Drosophila melanogaster: one gene and its partner. The protein of the gene in region 1 interacts with the protein of each later gene in a pairwise test. Each region holds a gene or a part of one and is shown in the gene's direction. Other genes may lie near its edges.

Region 1 (8,031 bases):
ACCTCGCGGCCCAGTTCTTGCTTGATTAACTTTCTGCTTAACGGACGTTCAGTCTTGCTGGAAATGCCGCGCAAGACCGGCTCAAAGGCCACCAGCCATATGCTTTCTGCACGCGGTGGCGAGATCTTTGTGCACTCCCTGTGCATCACGCGCTCCTGCATGGATGAGGCTCCATCAATTACTGATGGCCCCGGAGGACGTGTCTCGGACTATCGCACCGCCGAACTTGGTCAACTGATCAAGATGTCGCGCGTGGTTCCGCTCAAGGTTAAGGATCCATCTGCTCCGCCCTTGACGCGCCGGTTGCCTCGCTACTTCCCCCTGACCACCAGCTCTTCGATTCTGTTCCATCTACAGCGACACATCAGTTGGCTTCCGCATTTTCTCCATCTTTTAGTGAAGGAAGACATGGATAAGCAGGACGAGGTGCGGTGCCAGCAGCACATTCACGAGCTGTACAAAAGCGCCTCGCGTGGCGATGTCCTACCATTTACCCACACCAATGGAGCAAGGTAAGCAATTTATAGATATCTTTTATATATTTTCAATTTTTTATATTTAATTAACTCATTTCAGACTAAAGCTTTCCAAGGCCAAAGACCAGTACCGCTTGCTGTACAGGGAACTGGAGCAATTAATTCAACTAAATGCCACCACAATGCACCATAAAAATCTGCTGGAAAGCCTACAGAGTTTGCGAGCCGCATACGGCGATGCCCCGCTGAAGTCGGAACCTGGAGCAAGTCTCCTGCGCACCTACACGGAATCCCCACTCTCTCCCGAACGGCTGGAGCCCATCAGTAGCGTCGGTGCTAGTGGCAGCAGCAGCTCCAATAGCCTTCTCAAGGCGAGCAAGCGTCGCATGTCTAGTTGTGGGCAAAGGTATGTCGTATGTATGTATTTCTTGATAGAGTCCTTAATTCGCGCAATATTTGTCCCCAGATCCCTGCTAGATATTATATCCTCAGCAGAGCGAAGCCAGTCCAACAAACGATTGGATTTCTCGGGACGCCTTTGCACTCCGTTGGGTCAAGTGGCCAAGCTGTATCCGGATTTTGGTACCAAGGACAAAGACACAGTTACGACGGGGGCCAGTATTACGCCCAATGTTAAGGAGGAATCCGTACGTAGTTAAAATGGCACGGAGAACGCCGAATTTAAGCTGGGACTGTAGTATATATATATATAAAAGAAACATAATCATTTCCTTAAACAATGCTTAGTGTACGGCTTAATAGGAATTAATTTGAATGTAAAATGAAGTATTTTTCTGAGTTTCGTATAATCGCTTCTTTAAGACTGGGACAACATTACTGTGGAAGACGACATTATAATTCCTCTATTTAAGCTGCCTCAAATTGGATTAGTTTATGATTCAAACTGTTTGTTTAACTTAAGAAAATATAAACATGGGCCAATGAGTTTTTTTTAACTTGTGATTGTGATCTTTGGCACGGTAATAAAAACGAAAAGTACCCAGAATATAATTATAAATAAAATTCGTTTATTTATTAAACGGATTTAACTATTGAATTTAAAATTTCGAAATTGTCAAATTGTCAAATTTGTGGCCAATCAAAATATCGTTTTCTCCTTTGGTGTTTTATAGAAAAAATTGTATTCAAACGCTAAATTCTCAGATCGAATTTGATAATATTTTCCAAAATTTGTGTAATCTTTGGCAATGGCGAACAATTTTAACACGAGAAAAGTGATGCAGGTAGCGGAGGAGGGGGCACCACCTGTTCACAGTGAGCATCGATATTGATTATTGTAATATGCAGAGTATTGACTAACTTTTCTTCGGTAAGTTCCCATAATGGTTGGCAATGAGATTATTGTGCTCACCCAGCAGGACATTCGTCGTGTGGAAGACACGCGAGTGATAAGCTACAGTCGTGTAGGACCCAACGGGCAGTTTCTTCCCTTGGATACTTCTTCGCCAGGTGCGGTTTATTTCCCCCCGCCAAACACCACGCACTTCTGCACTTTGGATGATCTTCTCCGCAATGCTTCTGACAAAAGGGTCTGTATGCGAATGGACATCGAAGAGGATGTGAACCCTGCAAAGTCGACCAATGATACATGTCTTTTTCTACAGGAAACCTCGAACCCGCTGAAGACAGTTGCAAGTGTGTCTACTCAATTGGTTTGGTCAAAGAAAAAGTCGGGATCTGAACACCGTTTACCACTTTGCTACGATGCCGGCACCTCGACATCCGGGTTGATGACAAACACTGGATGCCAGCACTGCCCCAAGTGCGAGACGCAGCACTCGAGCTGTCAAACTCAAATGTTTGCCAAAACGCAGACAACTGTGGAGCGCGAGATGCCTCGGAATGCGAGTTGCCAAACGAAGGACACCGCCACCCCAACTAGAACTTCTATTGTGAAGGCTCCACAGAATGTGGGTTGCCAAACTCAGAGCTGTCTCAGTGAAAATACCTATATGAAGAACGAGCCCGCTAACTCGAGATGCCAGGCTCAGCGCAACACAAACTCCACCGGGTGCGGTACATATAGCGACCTATTTGAAACGACCTCAGCAGAGTCTTACACATCAGCTGAATGTGATTACACTTCATCGGTGGAAAGCACCTGTCAGCACTGTAAGTCACAACCGACCTGCACGGATCAGACGTTGATAGTACCAATGCAACCTCAAGTTCAGTCGCCCGTACCACCACAGGAGCAGCCTTGCACATCTAGACATATCCGCTTTGATCTCTGCACCCAGGTTAATAACTTTGAACCTCATGTGGAACCTCATTTCTATAGAACGATACCGTTGGGCCAAAATCCCTATCCGCGAGCTCAAGTCTCCAAGCCATCAGTCTCCAAACATACGGGTTGGACGAATCTCAATCCTGATCACGAAATACTTCAGCAGGAGCTCAGTCAAAACGCGTCCATAAGTAAACATCAGTAATGCTATAGTTTTTATATCACCGTTTTTCGCGATTTCTTATGCTGCTATATGCCATTTTTTTTTAAACCAAAATTAAAGCTATTTTTTTAACTTAGTAACGGTTTAGCTACATATTTCTATAACTATTTCAAGACCTTAAGGGTTGAGCTTTTTATTAGGCGTTTCCTTTTGGGTAGTGCTTTTTTCCCGGTGCCCTTGCGTTGCCTATGCTTTTTCGGCTTTGGCTTCGACTCCTCCTCTGCCTTGTTGGCATCAAAGTACCGCATGGGCTTCTGATGCTCGCGCTGTTCCCGTTTGAGCTCCTCTGGTGTGGCGATGCGCAGGTAGAAATCTTTCAGTAAGAGTTTGAAGTCCTCGAGCAGTGTTTCCTTGAGAACTTGAACCTTTTTATTACCACAAGGACTGCATGCCTGCAGCTCTGTGACCTTAAATGGCTTTGCAGCGAATTCCGTTGGTGGCCGCCATACAATGCCCAGTTCCTTGCCTCCGTGCGGATTGTAAAAGAACGCAGCAAAGTCGGAGTATGCAGACTAGCGGAAAAAAGAAGGGAAATGAGAATTTTCAAATACAAAGCTGGCTGCTTTATAACATCTTACTCTTAGTAGTCCCACAATTCGAGCAATGTAATCTGATCCTGCGCGGGGCAAGCTAAAGTTTGGCTGGCTAAATGAAACAAATGGTGACCCCAGATCGTAGCTTAAGGAATTCGGCACGAGATCTGGCTTAAATTGGATAACCAGATCGTATCCCTCGTTGGAAGCTCGAAATAATTGGGCCGGCCGCACAAACCTCAGATCTTTCGACATCAGGCTGGTTTCAATAATCTCGAGCGCATGGCGGGCCAGTCGCGTCACATGTCCAAGCACCCGTTGACTGGGTGACTGATCCGAGGTCCACAATCGTCCGGCATGCTGCATATCGTAAGAGGTGGCCACAGCCAAAGGAGGATAACTTTGACGGTTGCTGCGGTAGTTGTGCTCCAGATCGGCAATTTGTTGTTCTTGAGAACGTAAAGTTGAATTATTTTATAACATTATGGAGTGGTAACAAAGAACTTACCCTGCCAGCTATTGTTGAAGTTTAGCAGGAAGAGTTCGCCATTAAAATCGCTATGGGAAAGCAGCTGCAGGAAACGTATGAATCCAGTTTGAGGTGCCGCTATGGACTGCGGTGCATACCGCTGCTGAAAGAGATGCGCCACCAGTAGCTCAGTAGCCATATCAGGCCACAAGCCATCGTCCAGCAGTTGTGTGGCCAGCCAGCGCTTGGCCAACAGCACAGTGGAACCAAATGCGCTGTAAGTTTGATGAAGCGAATGTAGAGCCCCACTTACTTTGGGTAGAATATAATGTTGACGCTCTAAGGAACGACTGGCTGCATTGTCTATATATGTAGTTATGCCACGCTCAGTAACTTCCTGCTTCAGCAGCGCCAGCTCCTTGTTGTGTGCCAGCTCTATAAGGAAGCAGTAACCTTGCTTGAGTACGAGCAGACCGTCGGCGGACATCACCCAATGAAGCCGGCACTGCGCTTCCAACTTTTCGCCAATTTCGATAAGAAATGCAGTTTTAAGAGCACGCAGTGCACCAAGTTCAGTGGGCCACTTGCCGCTTTGCCCGAGCTGGATTACCACACGCTGAATGCTGCTTGCCAGGATGCGGTTTTCTACCAGAAGCGCCTGTGGGAGAACGGGCTGCGGCTCGCAGTAGCGGAAAATGGGCGAGACGCCTGATATGGAGACTATCTCTAGAGGAAGATCATTCAGCCCGTGTAGTTGGCGTGCCAACTCATCATAGCAGCGGATGACGTGCGGACTAAGTGCCTCTGCGTCGGTATCTTGACCCAATGGCAGCTTGGTCTTTAGCTTATTGACCTTAAACCAAGGAGACAGCTGGTAGACTTGGTCCAACTCGCCGCCAATGTATTGTACTTCCTTGCTGTCCAGTTGTAGGTGATGCTCCAATAGATGCAGCACAATCTGGCGAACAATTAGTCGCTTCTTGGCGGGTGAATCCTGGGCGGTCCCCCAAACCACAGCTTCTGTGATGCTGCCATCCTGAAACCGACGTAGGTTTGATTTCTCTCCCCAGAACCGTCGGAATTCCTCAGCTCCCTCATGATCATCGTTGGCAGCAGGTCCTTTGTTTAACACCTGGTATGCGTGCTCTGGCTGAAGTATAAGGCCCAGTTGAATATACTTCCCAATAACGGGCGCTTTTTTTTCCACAGGCCAGGCGGCTGTCGCAGTTTCTAAGGGTAGTATGGAGTGGACACGTTCAGCAAGTCCCTTTTTAAGGAGCCTAAAGTTATGATTATTATTTCTTTGTAAGTTGCCTGTTTAGCTTAGTTAACTCACTCAGTCAGTAAATGTAGCAGCTGCGGGTAACCATAATTAGCAAAATCGTACTTAATTCGAGGATGCGAATGCAGTGTAAGCATTTGATTTATGCATGAATAATTGGAAATCCTGGGGAAAAATAAAGTTTATAATTGAAAAACTAACATTTTAGCTTCACATACTTTAAGATATTATCCACCCTGCTGTACAGTGGACACTTTTGCATAAAGATAAGCGGGAAACTGTTTAGCTTCATGTCGTTCAGTAGTTCCACCGCCAGTTTGGCCTCCTCTCGAACTCTCTGATACAGGTAAAGCGGAATATTTGCGCATAGATTATGCTGTCCAGTGAAGTCTATAAAGCAAACGTCATAGTGTTCGGCAAACTTGTTTAATTCTTCCGTTTGAATGGGAGCAACAGACAGGCTAATGCCTTTCGTCCAGTCCGTGTTCGCCAGTTGGTTCCATACAGTGCGTGCCACTTGGTAACTGCTGCTTGACTGATGCAGAATGCGCTGCGTATTTAGGTACACAATAAAAGCGGCTAAGATGTGGGCACCAAACCCACTGTAACCTATGTCCAGTTGCCTCTGACGCAACCATACTTTAAGGAGCAGCAGGCCGTCCTGAAAATTACGCCTGCTCTTAAAGGCCTTATCCAATTGAGCCTGGTTCTCGGACAAAGTTAGATCAAACAGTACGTTTGCGTTGTAGTGTTGGGTGGAGGGCAGCGGATCTTTCTCGTCCCATTCGTCACCGTAAAACGAGGGCCGAATATTGTTGTTCCAGGGAACAAATCTGCCTGGCTTAAAACTGCTTAATGGGGCAGTGATGAACAGACGCACTTGCAGGTGCTTGTTTACTTGCTTAGTAACTGGGATCAATTCCAGAACCGGCTTAAGCGGGTTGTTAGCATAGTAGTTGAAATTAAACTGATCTTCTGCATAATCTGGGGACTCCATCATCCTCTCCGTCACATAAGTAAGATACAAAGCTCGCTTCTGGTCATAGCGAAGGTTTAGGTAATCTTCTTTGTGCAGGGATTCTTTTGGCATCTCCAGGGCCACATCCACTACAATTTTGGGACCCAGCAAAGTGCCCGTGGCGGCGGCTCCGATCAGATAAGGTTCCCTGGTGGGCTTGGAGAAAACAAATCCGGTCGGCTTTTCAGAAAGCTTCATTGGAACTTCCAAGTGGGTACGCTCCATCAAGCCATCCTTTAGCTGTCGGGTAAAGGCCGTAAAGGATTCAAGCCAGTTTTCAATGAAATCTGTGTATTTCTGCTTTAACTGCAGCTCCTCCAGCATTTCCTTAACTTGAAGCTTAAAGAGATTGGAGTGGAAGAGATTTTGGGTGTCTCGTAGCTCCTTCATCTCCTCCAAAGTGGGCGGCTTTACATTCTTGGTACCTTCTCTCTGCTTGAAGTTGTTCTTCTTTGGTATGGCAGTGGATGGTGGGTCGCTCTTGGCGATTTTGGGTTTTGGTTCATCAAGGTCGCTGTGATCCCCGGCATGTGCAATTGCTTGGGTACCTGTTCGAGCAGCTCCCTTCGGAGAGCCCACCTAAACAAAGTATGTTATAGGCCAAATAGTTTCCATAAAGATCTAGACAATCTTACCAACTTTCCTGGCATGATGTTTCCCTGTACAAATCGCATATAATATAAAATTTATTTACTTGTTGGAGAGAGAGCTAAACTCGCACGTGTTGCAGATGCGGTATTTCAGAATTCGGTATTTCATTAGAGGTTTTTGTATGGTCACCCTAGAACTGGGCAGATTCGTTTTTTAGTCCCAAATCAGCCGCAAAAACAGTGTCGAACGTAATTATAATTAAAATATTGAAAAGGTTTTATACACTAAATAAATTAGAGCAAAATATATTGCATGGTACACAGTTGTTGAATAAGTTACAAATTTAGACAATGTGAAGTGTAAATGTCTATACCAATTGCCGAGAAATCCTTGGATCCAGGACCAATAAATAAGATAAAATTTATAATATTATAAAAACAAATTATCAGTTAAACGCGAAAGATATTACCGTGGGCCTATACAGTTTTAAAGAGTAGATAAACAAATTTACCGGCTAATTGGTTTCGCCAGCAACAGTATTTTAAACAGTATTTTTATTTCATAATTATGTTTAAACATCTTTTATGTAAAGAGGGCTTTAGGTAAGTTCTGTCTTTAGCACAAGTATATAAGTATCTGTTTAAAATAAACGGGAAAAGCTAATTAAATTATCCCATTTTTCTTTTACCAGTAATCAGCATTAAATCAGCCTAGAGTATTTCCCTCGTTTTTCTATACGGTCTTACTCCGTCTCTGTCCATGTATAAGCGTGTGTGTGTGTGTTTGCAGGCAGGGGAAAAAATCGCACCATTTTTCTCGTGCTCTCTTGCGTGCGTTTTTTGGTCTTTCGAGGATTGTTTCGTAGAAAATCAGTTAAACACAAGCCCAGCTTAATTTATAAAAAGTAGTGAACTAAGTTGTTATCCAGAAATCGACGAGCGCACAGTAGCAAATCGAGTTGCAAATTTCAATATTCGGTCCGAACGTGTGTAACTGTGTCTGTGCGTGCGTGCGTGCGTGTGAGAGTGTATGGGTGAAAAATGAGGCGTAATGAAAATGCGTGCAAAACTGTATAAAAGGTAAATCGGCAGTTAAAAGTTGCCTAATTAATAAAGCCCACAAGTCGTTCATTCCGTAAAGATCAAAGCAAACCTTATAAAATGATGCGTTGGCAGAAAGGAGGCCCATTGA
Region 2 (4,490 bases), 5.8 Mb from region 1:
ATACTAATATCAATGTTTAATGGGTATATATTTAATAAAAGCATGATTTTCTTAGAAAATTAATCTAAGCCCAATGTGCTACTTCTTCCACTGAAAACCCGAAGCTACTTTACTGACACTGAAGATTTTCGATGTGCGCATTCTACTTCTAAAACTACTACTACTACTAAAACTACTCATTCTAAAACTACTGATTGCACAGGCTATAAATAAAGTAATCTTTAAGCGTATCTACTTTGAAATGGTTATTTTCGTTTCGAATGTGTAATTATACATGTGCTGCAAGAGTCTTAACTAAACATATATCCACGAAATGTACTATTTTTAAGCGTGCACGCAACCTTTTCTTAAATGCAAAAGAACCAACTTAAAGAAAGGAAGTCCTTGAAAACTGTTTAACAAAATGCATGCTATGATACCGATAATTATACTTAATGACCCTTAATTTGATTCCGGTTCATTTGCTTCAGCTTAGCTCACCAAAAGCTCGCCGAACGAACAAAAATCGAACTTGTAATTGTATCAATTAAGTGCTTGTGGATTCACCGAGCGGTTCTTTTGGTTCAACTTTTTGGAAATTCGATGCCCTTGCATATTTAGCCAGGGCAAGTCCTTTAATTAAGACTGACAAGCAGGATGGCTGAAACTTTGAAGAGCTTATGAATTATTTCCTTTGCAGGACTTTGACTCCTTCAACCGAACAGCACAGTCGGTTTTATGGCTTTAAGGGTATATTAATCATCACTCTTGAACAGTTGCTACTCATTTATACGTGTCTGAACTGAATTACAATGAATACCAATTATAAAATGCACAGGAATTAAGGATATTATTTTTAGAAGCTATAGGTGGCATGCCATTTATTAGTAGCGTTAGCTGAGTATTTGATAAGTTTATTCACTAGTTTTACTTTAACAGAGGGACTTGTTTTTAACCTTTAACAAAACCTAACAAAAGCTCATTCTGTAAGTATATAAAAGTAGTCACCGCTGATAAAATATATATTTTTTTTATTTAAGTCTATATAATCTAAGTTTCAGACGATGCTTGCTCTTCGCGCTTAGCGCTAGCAAAGCTTCGAGATTATAATCTCAGCCGCTTATAATCTGCGTAAGACCGCCATCATCGTAGCCACCTCCACCGCCGCCTCCGTAGCCTCCTCCACCTCCTCCTCCGCCGTTACCATAGCCGGGTCCAAAGTTGCCCGAATATACTGGACGACGGCCACCTCCTCCACCTCCGCCGCCGTTGTAGTATCCTCCACCGCCTCCGCCTGCGTTGTATCCACCTCCTCCTCCTCGTCCTCCGTTGCCACCTGTGTAGACTCCAGGTCCTTGGCCTCCGGGTGGATTACCTAATAGTGATATTTAAATCAGTTTCTTGAGGAGTAGTAGTTACTTAATTGCGCGCTAGCTACTGCATTTTTTACGCAAGCCAGCAAATGTACTATGCGCTATAGAAATTAAAAGCTTAAAGCTAAGTGTTCGGAATTATATTATTCATAAACTTAACCAATAACAAATGTTTAGAGTATCGTTAATAATCACTTAATGACTTTCGTTGCCAAGAAATACCATAATATAATAACAAATTGATTGTTCATTCAAACTTTCGCTAATGAAAACACAAAATTTCCTTTTAAACTATGCCTGATGTGGCAGCGACGAAAATCGTTGAACAATTTTTGAATAAATGGCCCAAATTAATAGGCATTGACTTACAGTCGTAGCAACCGCCACCGATGTAAACAGCCGCCTCCGTTAGAGCCAGTGCAAAAAAAGCGATAATCGCAAATGCCGTCAAGGTTCTCATTGTGGCTGGTCTATTAGAACGTCGAACTGGTCTGGACCAGGTACGAACCGCAACAGCAGCTTATATACGATGCACTCATCGATTCCGATTCCGATACTGAATTTGAATTCGAATTCAAACCCAAACAGACCTTATCGCTGCAAAGAACTATTGCTGTGCAAACAAACCACTACGTATGTATTAAGTATTAATCTCAGGGAATTGCCCGCGGATGGGTTTCAAAAACAATCTGTAGCGCATCAGTTGGTCAGTCGTATTGCATTCAAGATACTCTACGTTACCTTTTTAACATAACAAATACACAAAATCTGTAAAATCTATAATAAGTCAGACACTTTTCATTTCTACAAAGTTGCAAAGATTTATTTTTAATGAAATGTATTTGTTTTCAAATATATTTTTTGCTTTTTCATTGTATTAAGTATCTTATTATTTAAATATAAATTGTTAGCTTTAGAACTAAAGCTTCTACATTTCACTCACGAGTCACGACTTTCGGTTCTGTAACCAGTTTTCCTTAGATGTATGGATAAAATTTAATGGTGTGCGATTCTCTGGAATCGCTTGCCATTCATGTTTACGTCTGGGAATAATTGTAAACCGACTTTTCGGGGCGTGACTGTCATAAGTTTCTTTGAAGAAGTTCAAGGAAATCAACTACGTCGACCTGATGCCACAAAACCGTGTGCGGAAAACCCCATCGAATTGCGATTTGATAGTGTTCTAGTGTGAAATTAATTTAAATATATTGTTCAAATACAAATCGAAAGCTCCAAACGCTTAGGCTTATGCAAATCGATTTTGATTCGGATCGAATCAAGTGCCGGACTATATAAGTAGCGTGAGAGTCGATACGGTCATCTATCTATCGGCTTTAATATGAAGTACCTGACGTGTGTGCTGCTCCCGTTGGCTTTAATTCCGACTCTGATCGGCGGTAAGCTGGACGGGATTGCTGCTGACGCTAATTGATACACACTGAAATTATTTCCAGCTCATCCCAGCACAGTGGTGGTGAATGGCGTCTGTCTGACTTGTAAGTTGCGATTGTTTTGCCAGCTAGGCAATTGGACAACTTAATGAATAATAATATGCACTCGAAAAGGTCCCAATCCGAATGGTGAACCCGTCTACCTGGATGGCCAGCAGTACCGCAGCTTCTCCTCATCCCCTGGCGATGGTAATGTGGTCATTTCCCGTGGAAATGACGGTAGTGGCGGTGGAGGTGGCACCATTTACCGGAGGGGTGGTAATACCATCGTCAATGGCAGATGTCAGCACTGCAACGTGGATCCCTATTAAAGGCTTAAACAATAAAGTCTGAATATTGAATTAAAATTGCGCACATATCGATCAATCCATTTCATACTTACACTTGGCTATGTACAACATCATTTAGCTAAAAGCATTGACAATCGTTCAACCCAGTCTCTCTGCAAATTCGATGAATGTGATGGTTTCGAGTGCAGAGGGCATCATCTGATGGAGGCAAAAAATGGAAAAATGAGCGTTTTATATTCAGTTTTTGTTACCACGAAGTACACGTGGAGAAACATGAAACATCCGAGTTATTTTATGCTGCGAAAAAAGCGTGAAGAATGTTATAATTGCTTTTGGTCGAAATATTCAGTCCTGAAAATCAAATTTTTCACATTTAAAATAAGAATTTTTTTTAACGATTTCCAGTACCTCATTGCGTGCACTGCGAGCTGTCTGTTTGTGAACATTGGCTTCTCTCATCCTTCTCAAAAATAAGTGATACAAAAGCGTTACATTTTCAAAAGCCTTGGTTTCAAAACAGTCTGCAAATAAGGGAAGACCCACGGATTTTGTGACGGAAAAATAGAGAAATTCGTGCTGCCAATGGCATCGATTGTTTGAACTTCAGCTAGTTGCCACATAAACTGGGCTGGGAGCTGACGTCGCTGTCTCCAGAGTATTGCACAGCATCGATAATCAAATGCGAGTAACCAACCGTGCAATTTACGCCAGTGGATGTGTTGTCAATGAAAACGCTGGCCTGATGTAAGGGTGCTTAAGGTTGCGCGTGCCACGTGGCGTATACGTAATGCTACTGCAGGAACGGCAAACAGAAGCCTCTCAAATATTTGCTTTGAAACTAACTACTCGACAAACAGTAAACACTTAGTGCATACACACACACACACACACACACACACTTCCCAAGAATATTTTGTGCAGAAGTTTCGAATAAAACTGATGCTGTGTTTTTATATACAGAATAAGAAGGGAAAAGTTTCATTCAGGCTTAGCATGCGAAAACAATTAAAATTGTAAAAGGATTACTTAACAATCATACAATTTTGATTTAAGCGTATAACTTAAGAGAATAGTATTGATTCCCGGACATCCAAGAATAAAAACCTAAGCTTTATTTGCAATTAAAAAAAAATACAATGCATTGAAATCAATGGACTGCCCTTGCGGATGTGCTAAATTCAGAAAAACGCTCGACTGGCTTAAAATTCAATGAACATTTGGGTGGCATAACCATACCAATCGTAAAGGGTTTCGATACACTTTCTCTGATTTACTTTTAATACACTTTATTGGCAGAAATGTGTCGTTTCCTATCTTTTTGGGTCACAAATTGTTTACACGCAACTTTAGAAGCCCCATGAAGCTGAGGAACTCAGTCCTAGTCCAGAACAGGGTGG

Evidence for each region. The genes of interacting proteins can lie anywhere in the genome.
Region 2: the proteins of Mst89B (region 1) and BomBc3 interact in a two-hybrid assay, tested with the Drosophila melanogaster proteins (one large-scale study listed by BioGRID).

Annotation. Positions count from the first base shown.
Region 1 is NT_033777.3:16,265,412-16,273,442, forward strand, and holds Mst89B (Mst89B), read left to right. Parts: upstream 1-1,600; 5' UTR 1,601-1,684; coding exon 1,685-1,751; intron 1,752-1,811; coding exon 1,812-2,026; intron 2,027-2,101; coding exon 2,102-2,929; 3' UTR 2,930-3,022; downstream 3,023-8,031. Other genes in the region: asun (asunder), read left to right, coding at 1-512, 577-882, 943-1,135; Mat89Ba (maternal transcript 89Ba), read right to left, coding at 3,052-3,459, 3,526-3,929, 3,989-5,229, 5,286-5,396, 5,450-6,828, 6,885-6,923.
Region 2 is NT_033777.3:22,084,512-22,089,001, forward strand, and holds BomBc3 (bomanin bicipital 3), read left to right. Parts: upstream 1-2,671; 5' UTR 2,672-2,691; coding exon 2,692-2,749; intron 2,750-2,806; coding exon 2,807-2,848; intron 2,849-2,917; coding exon 2,918-3,114; 3' UTR 3,115-3,990; downstream 3,991-4,490. Other genes in the region: BomT3 (bomanin tailed 3), read right to left, coding at 1,092-1,354, 1,722-1,812.